Schizosaccharomyces pombe: one gene and its partners. The protein of the gene in region 3 purifies or fractionates together with the protein of the main gene of each other region. This does not show direct contact. Each region holds a gene or a part of one and is shown on either strand. Other genes may lie near its edges. The genes, in order: rpn1302, rpn501, mts4 and rpn11.

Region 1 (4,173 bases), on a different chromosome or scaffold from region 3:
GGTATGTAGTTTTAGTGTGAGAGTACGAAGCTGTATATTGATTTAAAATAAGAAAATGCAATCGGTATATGGTTTAAGAAGTTGCGCATAGTCATCGATATGTTTGATTGAGAAATTGTAATTATGCAGTATGTAGTTTAAGGCAACACTAGAATGCGATGCTTTCACAGTGAGCTCAAAGGCTCCTGGCGATAAGTTCTGCTCAGTCATGATTAATGGGGTACTAGTAACTCTATATTTAGTTAATAAATTTATTTTTTTTTTGATTTATGTTCAAGCAGCTTAAAGACTTCTTTCACGCAAGAGAAGTATTTCTTGAATTCTTAATGATATTGCGATATGTAGCTTAATGCAATTGATATATAATTCATTGTAAATTTGGAAGAATATCAGATAAACGAGAAAGGTGAAACCATTCCCTATACAAGCTGTTATACCCCTACAAGTACTTTGCAACAATCCTCTCCCGTCAACAACAAATAAACAAAAAAAAAAAAAAAAGGAAGCTTAAATGTTGAAATACGATTACTCTACTTTTACAATTACATCACGTTCTTTGTGCTAGCTTGTTGTTCATAAACATAACATATATTAAAATATATATATACGAATTCGTCTTTTCCTCTCCACGCTTCTTATTCGTCCTTTTCGTTACTTTCTCTCATTTCAACATCTCCTTCCTCCTCAACTTCGCCATCAGAACCTTCTTGTGTTATGTGCGAAATCACAATCACCCCTTCATTCACCAAACGGTCGTACAACGCATGCAAAAATAATTCAGCTCCACTAGCACTTTGCACTTGCTCTAAACTCAAGTTGCAAATTTCACGCAACGACTCTGACTCGGGTTTTGCAACTGCCTCCATTAAACTCGACAAGTGCTTAAAAAAATCTCGATTTTCGCTCAACTCTGCACGACCGCTGATGCGCAAAAGGTCGGAAGGAGAATGTGGGAAAATCTTGGGATACACTCTAGGATGTGTAATCACACGATGAGATTCTCTGTCAATGGAGAAAGGCTCGACAAACGTCGTTTCATTCAAAATCAAGGGCTGAAGTTGCTCTAATAATTCCAACGTACGTGAATGAGTATAATCGATGTTTTCATCCAAAGGGGAGGCCGTTGCCTCCTCGTGATCTTCGCCATTCTCACCAGCTGTAGCATGTGGTCCATTCAAATTCGACTCACTTGACGCACGATACATGTTTGCTGACTCGTTAACGTTAGGAAATCTTGGCAGGATAGCCGGTGCTTCGGCTGTAGGTGATAAAACTTCCCAGTTAAAGTCTTGCAGAGCATCTTGGCTTGCTGCACCAAACAGTTGCAGCAGTTGGCTGGTTGATGAATCATCCGTACCTCTACTGCTAGAATTATTATGTGAGTTGATAGTCCGAGTCGTATTCACAGGGTCAGCAATTAATTGATTGATTAAGGAAGCTGTTTCCTTGTCTTTTTCATCACTATACTCCTGCATCCAGTAAAAATGAATCTGCGAAGAGGATTTAAATTTTAGTGCATATACGCGTCCCGTGGTACATTCATCAATTTTGATAAACTCTGCTTCTTCTGGAAATATGATGTAGTCCTTCATTATATGTTAGTAAACATAAACCAAATTAAAAAAAAAAAAACGCAAAAGTAAATTTATATATATAAATAGGTATACTTTGCAATTGATTTAAATTGTCTTCATACATCTTCTACTTCTCTAGAAACCCTGGCCCTTTCTTTCCAATAGAAATGCAATAATTCATCAGAAGCCATTTGCATATAGATAACTCTAAACAAATGTCAGTATTAAAAATCAGATCTTTTAACTTTATAAACAGAAAACAATTCCACAAAACCCAACAGTGTGGATTTTCACGCATCCTTCCAACGTAAACATGCAAAGAAGCTTCATAAACAATTCTTTGGGTAGAATTTCGTTTTCCCAGTAGAAAGGACTACTATCTATATTATTATTATAGTACATACCCTTTTCGGTGATCAGCTTGCAGAATATTCGTTCCTGGCTTTCTTTGAAGTTTTCCAGCTTTTACGGAGACTAATCCATACTTTCCTCTCTCGCTAGTCTCGTTTCTTACTCTTCCAAAAACTGATTCCATTTGTAATTTATTTTTTGTCAACTCAAAAGCTCACGATTATTGACCTTGTGAATTGTTGTGGTATAGTTGAGTATGCAGTGTACACAGTGCAAGTGAGCAAAGTAATCCACACAAACGTATCATGTCTATAGACATGATTTCTCAAAATCATTTAATTTTCTAATTGTCGCCACTATAATCATCTTTTATCATGTAATAGACAATCTTTTTAGGTGGTTAACTGCTCTAATATTTGAAGCTGATTTATCAAGCCGCATTTGATGGTTTCGCCTAAAAAGATGTTTTAATAGCAAATTAATACTACACTTTAAAAGGAAAAGGAACGTTCCACTATGCAGTGGAATTCATCTCTTAAAGGGCCTTGAAAAGACATAAGCCAATTTTTGTATCATCGTTAATGGCATCAATAGTAAAACAGAATAAACCAGTTTTCACCAATTATACATAGAAGAAAATCAAGATACAATAAATGTCTATAATCCTTTCAGGTTTTGAAGAGCAAAACATAATCGAGAAAAAGTATGCGTCCTACACAATGGTATTTCACTAGAAATAATAGAAAAATACATTCATACACTATTTGAAATTCACACCATATAACTCATAATATACAGACTTAAGTTTTTTTTATTAGAGACAGTCCAGTAGTCGAATGGTCAAATGAACTCTACAAATGGTTAATATAATAACAACTCAGGTATTCAATATGAGAGAAAATTCAAAATAAACCTTATTTTAAGAAATATTATTAGTAAAATTACTAAATCACCATCTGCCCTCTTCAATTAGCGTCAAATCACAGTTAATAGATTCGACCTTCAAATACAACTGGTAGTTCCAAATTGCAAAAACGATCATCTCAAAATGTTAAACTAGCATAACGTTTAATTAAAGCAATGTAATCCTTTATTTCAACATTCTTTTCATATTTCTCTTCATTCGTCCAAAAAAATAGAATATCACTTAAAAGGAAGTAAGTCAATAACAAATTCATAATACCTTATTTATGATAACAAATTTGCTTTAATTGATCCTAATATCTAGTGTCGCAAAGTTTTTTAGTTTACATTTTCATAGTCAATTACTGGTAGCTTGATGATCAATGGAGAATATGACAAATTGTTAAAAAATTATACAAATTTCCAATTATTTAAATCTTTGCTATGCTATTTATCTCTTCATTGTTGTATGTTTATGAGTAGTTACTCTACTCCCTTACACTGTCTTTCTACACCCACCACGAGTCATGTCCTCTAGTCAGCAAAGTGGCAGAGCCAATGAGTTGAGGACTCCTGGAAGAGCTAACAGCTCTTCAAGAGAAGCAGTGGATTCTTCTCCGTTATTTTTTCCTGCTTCGTCTCCTGGTTCTACACGCCTTACAACACCGAGGACTACAGCGCGTACACCTCTCGCTTCCTCTCCTTTACTGTTTGAATCTAGTTCACCAGGTCCAAACATTCCTCAGAGTTCACGTTCTCATCTTTTATCTCAGCGTAATGACTTGTTCCTTGACAGTAGTTCGCAGAGAACACCGCGCTCGACAAGACGTGGAGACATCCATTCTAGCGTGCAAATGTCTACCCCATCTCGTCGAAGAGAAGTTGACCCTCAACGTCCCGGGGTAAGCACTCCTAGTAGCTTGTTGTTTTCTGGGTCAGATGCACTCACGTTTAGTCAGGCGCACCCAAGCAGTGAAGTAGCTGATGACACTGTCCGTGTCATTTGGGGAACAAATGTATCTATTCAAGAAAGTATCGCTTCCTTTCGTGGATTTCTACGTGGGTTTAAGAAAAAGTATCGACCTGAATACAGAAATGAACTTATGCCACCTCCTGATGCCGAACAACTAGTGTATATTGAAGCGCTACGAAACATGCGTATTATGGGTTTGGAAATATTAAATCTTGATGTTCAGGATTTAAAGCATTATCCCCCAACCAAGAAGCTATATCACCAGCTTTACTCATACCCTCAAGAAATCATTCCTATCATGGATCAAACCATTAAAGACGTTATGCTAGACTTGTTAGGAACTAATCCTCCCGAAGATGTTCTTAATGACAT
Region 2 (3,724 bases), on a different chromosome or scaffold from region 3:
AAGTAGATGGTTTGCTTCATCATCAAAACCCCATTGACATATAACAAGGTTAGCTCCTGCGTCCTTTACATGCTTAATCATTTCCTGAAATTTTTCCTTCTCATAAGCTTGAAGGGCTTCAAATTCACTCACTGATGTTATGTCCAACTTATGCTTAGTTTTTGGCTTTGGTGGTTCAAAAGGGCAGGTTAAAATAGCAATCTTTGCATTTTCAATACGATGAGGCATTTGTGGATGCGACATGTCTTTGTCCACCACAACACCCTTTACAAGCTTTGTATCATCCACTGAACCACCAACCTTGCCATCTACTTTAATGAGTTCAAAATCAACATCTTTTCTCTGCAAATCAGCAACAGAAAGGACCGCGTCCACAGCAATGTTTGCAAAGTGATCATGAGCTTTGGAAACCACTTTACTACCCAAACTAGTCTTAGCAGAACGAAATAAATTAGTAGTGTTTTCGGGACTAAAGTCGACAACATCTGAAATAGCATCTAAATGTTTAACAGCCACCTGGCATGCCTTTTCGTAACCATCTGCAATCCTTATAGGATGTATACCTTTGTCTATAAGTGCCTCGGCCTGCTCCAGTAATGCACCTGCTAGTACAACAACACCAGTAGTTCCATCCCCAATTTCATCATCTTGAGATTTAGACAACTGAACTAACAGCTTTGCAATTTGATGTTCAACCTCCATTTGGTCGAGGATTGTAGCACCGTCATTGGTAACCGTAATCTCTCCATCTGGAGAGATTAAAATTTTATCCAGTCCACGGGGACCCAAAGAAGTACGCACAATATTAGCAACTGTTTTGGTAGCTAATATGTGACTTTTTACAGCATCAATTCCATGCAATCTTCTCTTCTTTTCCTGGTCACGTACTAAAATGAAAGGATTTCCTTGATCGTCACGGACCATAACAGCGTTATCTAGACCGGCCATTTTGCTCATCTTGTTATTGTGAACTGTCGATGCAAATGAATTTCAAGTGATAAAACTGAACGCTACACTAACCCAAATCCTTGAAATACTTTTGAACGATTTCACAAAGAACCTTATCTCTTACTTCCCTTTAAATCGTTGAAATAACTTGAGGTTCAAGCTTAGGGTGTATTCTTTAGAATGTCGTTGAAAGCACGTCTAATATGTTGCGGCCCTTCAGCATTTTACGAACTTCTATAGAAGAAATAAGCACTATATTTCACTAATGTAAGCTACGCAGTTTGGTATCTGATTTAAGGATACGTAGAACTGCGGTGAGTTTTCCTTGTGGTCTATTATATTACAATACACAGGTTGTATAAGTAGCAACTGAGTATAGGTATTGTATTAACTGAGTTATAATGTTACCTATCACTAATATAGCTCATAACTGAACTGAGGAACGAGGTTCAGTTGTAACGCTATTTATAATATTTCTAAATAGTTGTTATCAACGGGTATCTATGTATATAGACGGATAGTTACCCGTGATTATCAATAAACGGATCTTAGCTAGTATTCCAACATATGACATATAGTGATACGCAACGTAGTGTATCATAGCGTAGTGTACTATTGCTGACAACTAAAGTATTTTGCGAGCGTGCGTTACAACTCTGTAATCATAAGAAATCAACTCGCAATATTAGTCTCAATTGTACACTCTCCAACAACCCACATATCGAAATGGAACAGAAACCGGAAGTTGATTACTCAGAGAAGTTTGCAGAGTTACAAAAAAGTTTAAATAACCTTAATACCATAGACATCGTACGTAAAAATCAAAATTTTGACTAATCTCTAACTTGTAATTGTAGGATGCGAACCTCGAGAAGCTTTTGATTTTTGAGAAGCAAGTTCGTCAGGCTTCTGACACCAGCACGAATACGAAAGTATTAATATACATTGCTGATTTGCTCTTTCGAGCTGGTGATTTCCAAGGCTTAAACGAACAGTTGGTTAGTCTCTTTAAAAAGCATGGCCAACTGAAACAATCGATGACAAGTTTAGTCCAACATGTAATGACCTATCTTCCTGGAATTGACGATTTAAAAACAAAAATTAATTTGATTGAAACATTGCGTACTATTACTGATGGAAAGATATATGTGGAAGTAGAAAGGGCACGTCTTACACAACTGCTTTCCCAGATTAAAGAAGAGCAAGGTGACATCAAATCTGCCCAGGAGATCTTGTGTAATGAACCAGTAGAGACTTACGGATCTTTTGATTTGAAGGAAAAAGTTGCATTCATTTTGGATCAAGTTAGATTATTCTTACTGAGGTCTGATTACTACATGGCATCTACTTACACGAAGAAAATAAATGTTAAGTTTTTTGAAAAGGAAGACGTCCAGTCTTTAAAACTTAAGTATTATGAGCAAAAAATCCGAATTGGTTTGCACGACGATGCATATCTTGATGTTTGTAAATATTATCGAGCAGTTTATGACACCGCCGTGGTTCAAGAGGACCCCGAGAAATGGAAAGAAATATTAGAAAATGTCGTTTGCTTTGCCTTGCTTACTCCTTATGATAACGAGCAGGCAGATCTTCTTCACCGAATTAATGCTGACCATAAACTAAATTCTCTTCCTTTACTCCAACAATTGGTTAAGTGCTTTATTGTCAATGAACTAATGAGATGGCCCAAAATTGCCGAAATCTATGGAAGTGCTTTAAGGAGTAATCCTGTTTTTGCTGAAAATGATGAAAAAGGTGAGAAACGTTGGTCTGAACTTCGTAAGCGAGTCATCGAACACAATATTCGTGTAGTCGCAAACTATTATTCCCGCATTCATTGCAGTCGTCTAGGAGTGTTGTTGGATATGAGTCCTTCCGAAACAGAACAATTTCTTTGCGATCTTATTGCAAAGCATCATTTCTATGCCAAGATTGATCGCCCAGCTCAAGTCATTTCATTCAAGAAATCTCAAAATGTGCAAGAGCAATTGAATGAGTGGGGTTCCAATATTACTGAACTTCTTGGAAAATTGGAAAAGGTAAGACAGCTTATTATAAAAGAAGAAATGATGAATTCTATTCAACAGGCGGTAGCCAAATAAATTGTTCCGTCTCTATTTCATTTCGTTACTTTCATGACTTTGTCATTTAAATAATATACTATTGGTTCAAAGGCCTTCAACTTTTTTTACGAGAATACAATAGTTTTAATGTCGAATTGCAACCTCGGAGAAAGTTATTCTAGTAAGTTTGTAGTGATTTTCGTTGTTATTTGTCTCGTAACTAGAAGGTTAACTTGATGAATTATTTTAAATAAATTATTGTAGTTCACTCAATATGTAGTCCCTTAATTTTTATTTCAGTTGAGTTTAGTTAAAAGATTGCCATTGGTATCATATCTGGCCTCAAAAAAAGTATAGCTTAGAAGAATATCGTCAATATCCTTCATATTTGGATCATCAGCAAATTCTGGATCTATAAAGAAAAACACAGGCAAGTCTACTTTTTCATGAGCATCTAGCTTTTGCTCTTCAAAGCAAAAGCATGCAACCTTTGAGAAGTAAACAGCGGCTTGACCTGGTACTATATTATAAGTTGCAACTCCTACTATGTCATGGTCGGACGTATTTTCAGCAGTATAAAACCCTAGAGCAGTCTCGCCTGGAAGAACATATATTTCACGCTGCTGGGGCCAAAGCTTCCAGCTAAGGTTTCCTGCAACGTCGCCATTGAAAGTAACTCTGATTCTTTTATTGTCTTTACGAGGAACCAT
Region 3 (5,543 bases):
AAATTATGGAGACATTTCCCCAAAACTGGGTTGGAGATTACCAAGGTCTTCAGATTTTAATATTAAAAGGTTTCCGTTCAACTAATTCTTTTGAAATTACCATGAATTTTTTCCTTTTGCTGATGGATTTCAAGGATAATGATTTGGTTGGCGTTGGTTATTTGAGGATACTATCCTGCTTGTTGGTGTCATTACCAGCGATGGTATATACATACGAGCATTCAGATCCTATTACTTTTGATTTAAGTGTTTTCTGTCATAAATTAGCTACTCTTGCTTCACAATTTAACGATGATGCATTGATTGAGCTTCTTGACACATATCTCAAACGTAAATTCAGGTCAATTAAGGATTTTTTAAAACATACGGTTTCATACCTATACTCCTATTATTTTGAAGATTACGAGCTAGAAATTGTTAGTACTCTTACGATGTTTCTATCAAATAATTTGACTTGGTTTAGAAAGTCTACGTTAGATGTGTTAAAAGAACTCTTTCCATTAATTGATTTCCAAAAACCTATATATTCCGAACATGGATTAGGTATTGTTTCACCGCTTCTTCGACTCTTACCTACTGGTTATGCAATGGAAGCGTTGTCTTTGCTAACCGACTCAGTGCTTCATGTATCTGCTCCCACAGATATGCAAACCTTAAAGTTATTAATGGTTGACCCTAAATTAAAAAATTCAGATGATCGTCTGGCTGGATTTTTTGAAATACCTGACGAGGATGGATGGTATGAACCAAACTCTGAATATGCAGCTGCTATAACTAAAAGCAACGTACATGCCGTATTTTATAGCTGTTCCACTACCGAGGCTTCTGTGAGTACGCCAGAGGTTAGATTTCATGCTGATGAAGTATCCAATTATCCGCGACACGTTCCTACTGACAGTCATGGTTCGCTTGACGAAAATTCACTAGGAGAGCTAGTTACAACTCTTCATAGCCTCGATGTCTTCTTCGCTGAAGATAGGGATGAAGAGTTAATTCAGCCTGATGTCGCCGTTGATCCAAAATTAGATATTACATCGGAAGATTATGACGATCGGATAGCTACGATTCTTTCAGGTAGCCTTAGACGGCAGAAACAAGGTCTTATGGCTTATGAAACAGAATCCTTCAGAGATTATTCACCGAACGAAGAAATTGATGCATCAGCAAAATTGCCGATGGACATGCCGCCGGTGAGAGTAAGAAAGTCGTCTTTTATCTCTAAATTAAAACCTCATTACTTTATGGATGCTGAATCTTATTATCCTTCTTTAAAGGCACTTGGTAATTCGGCGGAACATCGTTTATCTTTGGACGAAATACGAGGTGCAGCAGAATTGAAACAAAATAAAAATTGGAATTCCATGTTAGATCAATCTGTTTCTATGATTAATGAAGATTCAGTGGAAGACCATGAAACTCATGAAAATTATTATCATTTACGTACAATGTTTCAAGGAAGTGAAAGCAATGAATCTTTTACTGATACAACTCGATCCCGCGGTTGGCATTGAATTTGCCTATACTGGTTTAGTATACTTATACAAGCTTTTATGGTGTTCATGTGTGTAAGATGGAAAATTAGTCGGCAACGTTTATGGATGTACTATATAAAACTATTCGTTTGTTTTCATTATTTTATCATTTGCATTTTTTTGTTAATTTAAACTCGAAAATTCTTTGACCATTACAGCCTTTAATTTTAGAATTCAAAATCTTAGAGCGTGTCATGTTATTAAAAATCAAGCTATAACTATGGTAATTAGGTGTAGTGATATAAATCGGTTTCATATGTCCGTATTTAAACAAATGAAAACATAAAGAGTCAATCAATAACGAGTTATTTTACAACAATTCTTATAAGAAAAGAGGCATGAGATAATAATGTCAAGCATCGTGTAATAATGGTAATACATTGACGAACTTAAATAATAGATTATTTTTTCATTTGTACTGATCCATAAAGAAAGCATAGCGTGTTGTTAAATCTAATTAACGTGATAAATAATCAAATACGTAAACAATCGGTATACTGGTTCTGACTAGGGTGAGAGTAGTTTCAACGACAACACATTACTACTCAGTTTCAGAAAATCTTAGGAATCTAGAAAATGAGTTCTAAAGACATTAGTTCGAAGTCCCCGAGTGGTAATGATGCATTAAATGACAAAAAAGGGACAAAGACTTCAGAAACTAATGACAGAAACTCAACGAACAATACCAAAGAAAGGGATGAATTAGAGGATTTAGTAAGTTAAAGCCCTATTATTTTTCAAAATGAAAACTAACCAAATAGTCTGAAGAAGATTTACAATTAAAAAATGATTTGGAATTATTAGTTCAAGCTGTTCAAGATGCCACCCCTGAGTTGGTGGGTTCCAGTCTCACTCAGCTTAAAGAAATAATTCGTACTTCTACCTCCTCTATGACGGCCGTTCCAAAGCCTTTGAAGTTTCTTAGACCACATTATTTTACTCTCGTTAAAATCTATGATTCCTGGCCGCAAAGCCCTCAGAAGACTCAACTTGCTGATATCCTTTCAGTATTAGGAATGTCCTATAGTAATACAAGCAAACATGAATCATTAAAATATCGTCTTCAGGGCGTTACCACTGATCCTTCTTTATGGGGTCATGAGTATGTTCGCCATTTGGCTTCCGAAATAGAAGAAGAGTTTGCCAGTCGCCAGGAAGAGGAAGCGCCAACCGACGATCTTATGGAACTTGCATTGACCATTGTTCCATTCTTCCTTACTCATAATGCTGAGGCTGATGCTATTGATTTATTACAAGAATTGGGTGCTATTGAAAAAGTTGTACCCTTCGTAGAACTTGATAATGCTTCTCGCGTTTGTCTTTATATTACCAGTTGCGTTAATCTTTTGCCATTTCCTGAAGATGTCGCCATGTTAAGAACAGCGCATGCTATTTATCGGAAGTTTGACCAGCTTACACAAGCACTTAACGTTGCTATCCGCCTTGATGATATGTCTTTGATAAAAGAAGACTGTGAAGCTGCTACGGATCCCTTGTTGAAAAAGCAAATGTCTTACATGCTTGCTCGTCAGCAAATACCTATGGATATGGGAGACGAGGAGTTAAACGATGCTTTAAATAACACTCATTTATCTGATCACTTTCATTATCTAGGAAAGGAGTTGAACCTTATGGATCCTAAAGTTCCGGAAGATATCTTTAAAACACATTTAGAAGTGGCTAGGACTGGATTGGGTGCATCAGGAGTGTATTCCGCCAAACAAAATTTAGCTAACACTTTTGTCAATGCCCTTGTCAATGCCGGATACAGTAACGACAGATTAATTTTGGTCGATGACGAAAAAACGTCTTGGATTTATAAAAATAAAGAATCTGGTTTAATAAGTGCTACAGCTTCTATTGGCCTATTACAATTATGGAATGTTGACATGGGATTGTCTTTGTTGGATAAGTATTTATACTCTTCTGAGGAGAATACCAAGGCTGGTGCATTGTTGGGAATTGGTGTTACAAATGTTGCAGTAAGAAATGAAGCTGATCCAGCTATGGCAATTCTTTCTGAATACCTTGAAACTGGCTCCGTAAAGCTTCGTGCATCAGCGATTTTAGGTTTAGGACTTGCATACAGTGGAGCTAATCGCGAAGATTTACTCGACATGTTATCTCCAATTGTTACGGATACCGATTGCCCTATGCAATTATCCTGCTTAGCCGCATTATCTTTAGGTCTTATTTTTGTTGGTACTTGCAACGGCGATGTAGCTAGCACAATTTTACAAACTCTAATGGAGCGTGAAGAGTCTGCCCAAAATGATCAATGGGGCCGTTTTATGGCTCTTGGCCTTGCCCTTCTTTTTAATGGTAAACAAGACCTTGCGGATGCTACAGTCGAAACACTGAAAGCTATTGAGGGTAAAATTGCACGACAAGCTGAAATTTTGGTGGATATTTGCTCGTATGCTGGAACTGGCAACGTTCTTCACATCCAAAAATTGCTTCATATCTGTAGTGAACCTCCCAGTGATGATGCTAAGGAGAGTGAGACTACTATCCAGACATTTGCAGCACTTGGTGTTGCTACTATAGCTATGGGTGAAGATATTGGAGCAGAAATGGTTTTGAGACATTTCGATCACATGATGCATTATGGCGAACCCTCTATTCGAAAAGCTATACCACTTGCATTAGGATTGCTTTCCGCTTCCAATCCTCAAATGCGTATATTTGACACGCTTTCACGCTATAGTCACGATAATGATTTGGATGTTGCTTACAACGCAATCTTTGCAATGGGTCTTGTTGGTGCTGGTACTAGTAATGCGCGTTTGGCTCAATTACTCCGCCAACTAGCCAGTTATTATCACAAAGAATCCAACGCTCTATTCATGGTTCGTATCGCTCAAGGTTTACTTTACTTAGGAAAAGGAACAATGACGCTTAACCCTTATCATACAGAACGGCAGATTCTTGGTCAAACTGCTTTTGCTGGTCTTATGACTGTTGTATTAGCTATGCTAGATGCAAATACCTTTGTCCTTGATACCTCGCATTGGTTGCTTTATGCTATTACGTTAGCAATACGACCCCGAATGCTCATTACCCTTGGTGAGGACGGTCAATATTTACCAGTAAGCGTTCGAGTTGGTCAAGCAGTAGATGTGGTCGGTCAAGCTGGTCGTCCCAAGGTCATTACGGGTTGGGTCACACATACTACACCAGTTTTGTTGCATCACAATGAGCGAGCTGAACTAGCGACGGAAGCATATACACCTTTGACTTCGTTGGAAGGTATTGTTATTTTAAAAAAAAATACGGAGGACATTGAAATGACCGCTTAAATGACTTGAAGTTAAATGACTACAATTTTTATGTACTAATGCTTGATTTCCAGTTCTTTGCTATTAATAAAACAAACTGGATTGTTGAAATTCAGCGCCCGATACATTTATTTTTCTATTTCGATTATGTTAAATTCGTATTTTTTAGATTAGAAATGTTCTAGTATTGTTCTAAATTGAAGTAGCGGAAAGTATATATACATGATTGCAAATTTGTAATTAGGATTATAATTTCTGTTTCTTTTTTTTTGTATTTGTCGCGTTACCAAAAGGTAATAGAACGTCCACTGCAGAAACGTCTTGTTGGATAAAAATTGCCCGAACTAAGGAGCTACCATTTCTTAGTAAAAAAAATTTAGACCTGCGTTGGAGCTTAATGCAATTATCAAAGAATGAATTTTAATCATCTTCTGATAATCCGACAAAGGAGTTGACTGCTTTGCGACGCATCCCTTATGTCACGTTTCTACTACTGTTTCAATACCTAACCATTACATTAAAGGTAAAACTGCACATTAGATACTTCGCATTTAGGGAATAACGGTGAATAGCTTTATTTAATTTCAAATATTATCTTGAATTGTTATTATGTTTCATCATATGCAGTCCCAAAGTCTGCTCATCGTTAATTCATTTCCACAGGTAAGTTGTGCATTCATTTCGTTATGTGAAAAAATGGAATGACGCTCGTATTTGAATTGATAGAAATGTC
Region 4 (4,181 bases), on a different chromosome or scaffold from region 3:
CAATGTACATAAAGGTACGACGAGAAGAGGACTGATCAAGAGGCCCAAATGGACTTTGCTGAGTTAGGCTGAAAGCATATTCCGGTGATTTACTACTCGATAATGCAAATAGATCCTCCTGACACCGATTCTCTATAGCTTTAAAGAGTTTCTTGTCAGAATTTGTACTCTATAAAATTGTTAGCACATTTTATATATCAGTATATTCATGTCTTGGTAAGTTAATAAAGCAGAATGCTCCCGAATCTAAAAACAGACACTCAGACGCGGTACTCCATTTGGTAAACAACAATCGTAATCATTTTGGTTTCAGATTTGAAACGTAAAGAAACTAAATAAATAATCACAAAAAAAAACAATGATTATATAATTAGCTGATCTTGTACAAGAGACCAAAAAGAACCAAAATTGTTCAACTTAGTGATTTGACCACGCAAGAAAAGAGGATCATTATTAAAAGCATATGTCAAATTCAAGAACCAATGTACAATTTTCCCTTTACCAGACTAACCAAGCTTACAAGTTAAATTTACCTTGGTTGTATAGAGCTCGCACTTTCCGCGTATGCGACAATCATCGGCATCAAATGATAAGGCATTATTGACTGTATCTAAATCGGCAAGCTCAAGAAACTGGTCACAAAAACAGGGTTTAGTAAGACAAATAAAAAGTAAAATATATTTACCTTCATAGTAATTGTAATGTAATCAATTCAATTGTTTCCTTTCATTAAAAAGAGGTTTGCTGTGGTTAGGTATCAGCGTCGCGTCCAACGTCAATGTCACTTCTATTAAGGGTACGTTAATCTTAAATAACAGACTATAAGCTAATAGTAAGCGTAAGGAGTTTGTTAGATGTCGGTTCAACATTTTACCGAAGCTTAATATATTTGAGAAACCATCCCGATGCATTGCCATTTATTTTTTTATGCTGTTTTAAGGTACTTAACCGTATAATGTGTTAAAGTCCAAGTCGAAATGCATTTATTTATTCATAAAAATAAATATTTTAAGTAATTAAAAGGAGTCTAATAAAAACAAATCAGTTTAAAAATATCGATTATAAGTTTTTCCGTATTTTTCTGATGAGCATTGAGTAACTCAATTTTTCAATATTCAATTTTTTCTACAATTCTTAAAAGAAACGGTTCAAGTATCATTATTAACCAAAAAAAAAGTAATAATAATTTATTTAATGAATAATCGTCGCTTCTAGAGTATACTTGTACAATGAAATTGTACATATATATACATATTTTTTTTAAATTGAGCCCATTAATAAACTTGCACAACATACATCAATTCTTTTATTGTATTACTTATTACACTTTTACTATTAAATTATATTTATTTTATTTTATTTTTAAATTCAATTCCTAGTGTAAAATGTATTAAACTGTTTCACCTCTTATCGTACAGTTCAAACATTTTGCTTACACCAACTTACCTTTACCAAGAACTATGGACTACGTTGGTGGTTCTCTAAAACTGAAAAATGTAAAAAAAAAACCTTTGAAAAAGAAAAAGAAGGATTCTAAAAAACTTGCTGAAAAAGTTCAAGAGCATTCTTCCCGAGATAAATCACCTTTAGAAGAAAATGGCGTATCTACGTACCAAATGCTTCGCTCAAAGGATACAGACTCGGCTATGCCGATGACGGAAGCACAGAAACATTTTGAGTCTGTTCAGGAACAAAGATTACTTCAGAAAGCAAAGAATGAGCGATTGAAAACACATAAAGACAGGATTGATGAGTATAATAGACTACTGGAAAGTCAGTCGGAGCATTTTGACATGCCTAAAATTGGACCCGGCTAGTTTTCAAAACACGTCCTTTTTTCTCTCAATAGCTATACTTAAATAGCAATGGATGCCTCCTCTATTCTGCATAGTTTTTCTCCATCCACCTACCATATTCTTTTATGAATTACGCACTCTAATGAAATCACTATTTTATTTTAACAATACGCATTATACCTCATTATTGTTATAGCTATTCATTTGTCTCTAGAAAAAACCTGTTTATAGCCAACTACCACGTAAACGTATACTAGCTGCCTAAGTGAGACCAAAGACATAGAATCTTGTATATTCGTTTTGTATAGTGGTTGAAACATATAGAAAGAACTTCCTTTGAAGAACAAGCACATTATAGTGACCTTTGATTGTTTTTGTCGTCTTACTAAATATCAGTGAACAGCATTAACGTTTTGGTAACTTTATTTAAATACTTATACTGAGTTTCTCATTTAATCTCCAATTACACTTTTATTTGCGGTTATTTGAGAGGAACCCCACTGATACTGATAAACTCTCATATTTCAATACATACATACGAGTCATATTTTTCGCGATGGAATCTTTACAAAGATTGTTACAAGGTGCCCGCATGGGTACTGGTATGATGGGAGATCAGCCTCTTGTTGATAATTCCGAGTGTGTATACATTTCATCTCTAGCTTTGTTAAAAATGCTTCGTCATGGGCGACATGGTACACCAATGGAAGTTATGGGTTTGATGTTAGGAGAATTCGTTGATGACTTTACAGTACGTGTTGTTGATGTTTTTGCAATGCCTCAATCTGGTACAGGTGTCAGTGTAGAAGCAGTCGATCCAGTTTTCCAAAAAAATATGATGGATATGCTTAAGCAAACAGGACGGCCAGAAATGGTTGTAGGTTGGTATCATTCTCACCCGGGTTTTGGTTGTTGGCTTTCTAGTGTCGATATCAACACCCAACAATCATTTGAGCAATTAACACCAAGAGCGGTGGCAGTTGTTGTCGACCCTATTCAATCTGTCAAAGGAAAGGTGGTAATTGACGCCTTTCGATTGATTAATCCGTCTACCCTAATGATGGGTCAGGAACCCAGACAAACAACTTCCAATTTGGGTCACATCAACAAACCTAGCATTCAAGCTTTAATTCACGGTTTAGGAAGACATTACTACTCCCTTCGCATCAATTACAAAAAAACTGAGCTTGAAGAGATCATGCTTTTGAATTTACACAAACAGCCTTGGGCACATGGTCTTTTACTTGAAAACTTTAATTCTGCTGCGGAAAAAAATCATGCTTCTATTGATAAGATGAAATCCTTGTCAGAACAGTACACTGAACGTGTTCAAAATGAAGTGACTTTAAGTCCGGAGCAACTTCGTATTCAATACGTTGGTAAACAAGATCCCAAGAAGCATCTTGACGCTGAGGTTCAGAAATGTATAGACAACAATATTTCTTCCATGTTAGCTTGTATGCTTGATTCCGTTGCCTTCTAGTACATCTATTTTGGTAATACCTCTTTTCCATCATCCGTTTTTTATGAGCTACTTTCTTTCCTTACTCAAAGCATTTATGAACTGTTTGAATAATCCTGTTGGTCGAATCTGATACTACTTTTTTACGATTTCATATTCGTGACTAGGAGTACATTTTTTTTAAAACTTTTTACATGATCGTGGAGTATGATTGATGATATTTTGGTAAGCTCTTGAGATTGCGAGCGTTTGCTTTGATGGATTCTTATATATTTTTTTTCATAGATCCTTAAGATATACCTGCACACCAGTCTTTCAAGCTTCTTCCCAATAAGAAAAAATTGTTTCAATTATTGAATTTGTAAACATCTTCTACCAACATGTTAAAAATTTTGTTTCCTTGATTGTTTGTAATGTACCTGTAAGGATCGTCGATCAGCGTCAAACCATTGAAGTTGAATACATAAAGGTATAACTGAGGCTACTTAATTTATTATATGACATTTTAGCGTGATATGATTTTTTGATGTAGCATGATATTGTACTTGTCAAGTATTCCTATCTATCTTTCAACCTTTGCCAACCACTAACGTATGTTGGTTTACGGAATCAACAAACAATTGTTTATTAAGAAGTTTAACAAGGTTTCTTTTTTATTTTCAACGTTTAAGACTTGCTCCAATATTTAACTGGTTTTTTGAATTCATAATGAATAGATCTGCTGCTTTATCAATCTTAAAGCGCCAAAGTTCTACGGCAGCTTCTTCTTCACTCAAGAGAACTCCTTTATATGATCTGCATTTAAAAGAAGGAGCTACCATAGTCCCCTTTGCTGGTTTTTCAATGCCAGTACAGTATAAAGGTCAAACCATTAGTGCCAGTCATAAGTGGACACGGGAGCATTCTGGCTTATTTGATGTAAG

The links.
Region 1: the proteins of mts4 (region 3) and rpn1302 purify together in Schizosaccharomyces pombe (affinity purification with western blotting, with the first as the bait; one study listed by BioGRID). This does not show direct contact.
Region 2: the proteins of mts4 (region 3) and rpn501 purify together in Schizosaccharomyces pombe (affinity purification with western blotting; 3 studies listed by BioGRID). This does not show direct contact.
Region 4: the proteins of mts4 (region 3) and rpn11 purify together in Schizosaccharomyces pombe (affinity purification with western blotting; 4 studies listed by BioGRID, with this or other methods). This does not show direct contact.

What each region holds. Positions count from the first base shown.
Region 1 is NC_003421.2:897,047-901,219, forward strand, and holds rpn1302 (19S proteasome regulatory subunit rpn1302), read right to left. Parts: upstream 2,174-4,173; 5' UTR 2,110-2,173; coding exon 1,979-2,109; exon of another isoform or gene 1,976-1,978; intron 1,856-1,975; exon of another isoform or gene 1,782-1,855; coding exon 1,697-1,781; exon of another isoform or gene 1,587-1,696; coding exon 636-1,586; 3' UTR 562-635; downstream 1-561. Other genes in the region: mcm4 (MCM complex subunit Mcm4/Cdc21), read left to right, coding at 3,356-4,173. UniProt on the Schizosaccharomyces pombe protein: Component of the 26S proteasome, a multiprotein complex involved in the ATP-dependent degradation of ubiquitinated proteins.
Region 2 is NC_003424.3:1,264,595-1,268,318, forward strand, and holds rpn501 (19S proteasome regulatory subunit Rpn501), read left to right. Parts: upstream 1-1,674; coding exon 1,675-1,758; intron 1,759-1,805; coding exon 1,806-3,053; 3' UTR 3,054-3,186; downstream 3,187-3,724. Other genes in the region: chaperonin-containing T-complex epsilon subunit Cct5, read right to left, coding at 1-948; rsm22-cox11 tandem protein cox1101, read right to left, coding at 3,311-3,724. UniProt on the Schizosaccharomyces pombe protein: Acts as a regulatory subunit of the 26S proteasome which is involved in the ATP-dependent degradation of ubiquitinated proteins. Required for proper proteasome assembly.
Region 3 is NC_003423.3:2,850,618-2,856,160, reverse strand, and holds mts4 (19S proteasome regulatory subunit Rpn1/Mts4), read left to right. Parts: upstream 1-2,058; 5' UTR 2,059-2,108; coding exon 2,109-2,246; exon of another isoform or gene 2,247-2,293; coding exon 2,294-4,831; 3' UTR 4,832-5,040; downstream 5,041-5,543. Other genes in the region: morphogenesis protein Mor2, read left to right, coding at 1-1,511. UniProt on the Schizosaccharomyces pombe protein: Acts as a regulatory subunit of the 26 proteasome which is involved in the ATP-dependent degradation of ubiquitinated proteins.
Region 4 is NC_003424.3:3,008,627-3,012,807, forward strand, and holds rpn11 (19S proteasome regulatory subunit, ubiquitin-specific protease subunit Rpn11), read left to right. Parts: upstream 1-2,019; 5' UTR 2,020-2,352; coding exon 2,353-3,279; 3' UTR 3,280-3,681; downstream 3,682-4,181. Other genes in the region: RNA polymerase III-inhibiting protein Maf1, read right to left, coding at 1-169, 534-632, 686-691; SPOM_SPAC31G5.21 (FAM32A family protein), read left to right, coding at 1,461-1,817; glycine decarboxylase T subunit gcv1, read left to right, coding at 3,967-4,181. UniProt on the Schizosaccharomyces pombe protein: Acts as a regulatory subunit of the 26 proteasome which is involved in the ATP-dependent degradation of ubiquitinated proteins.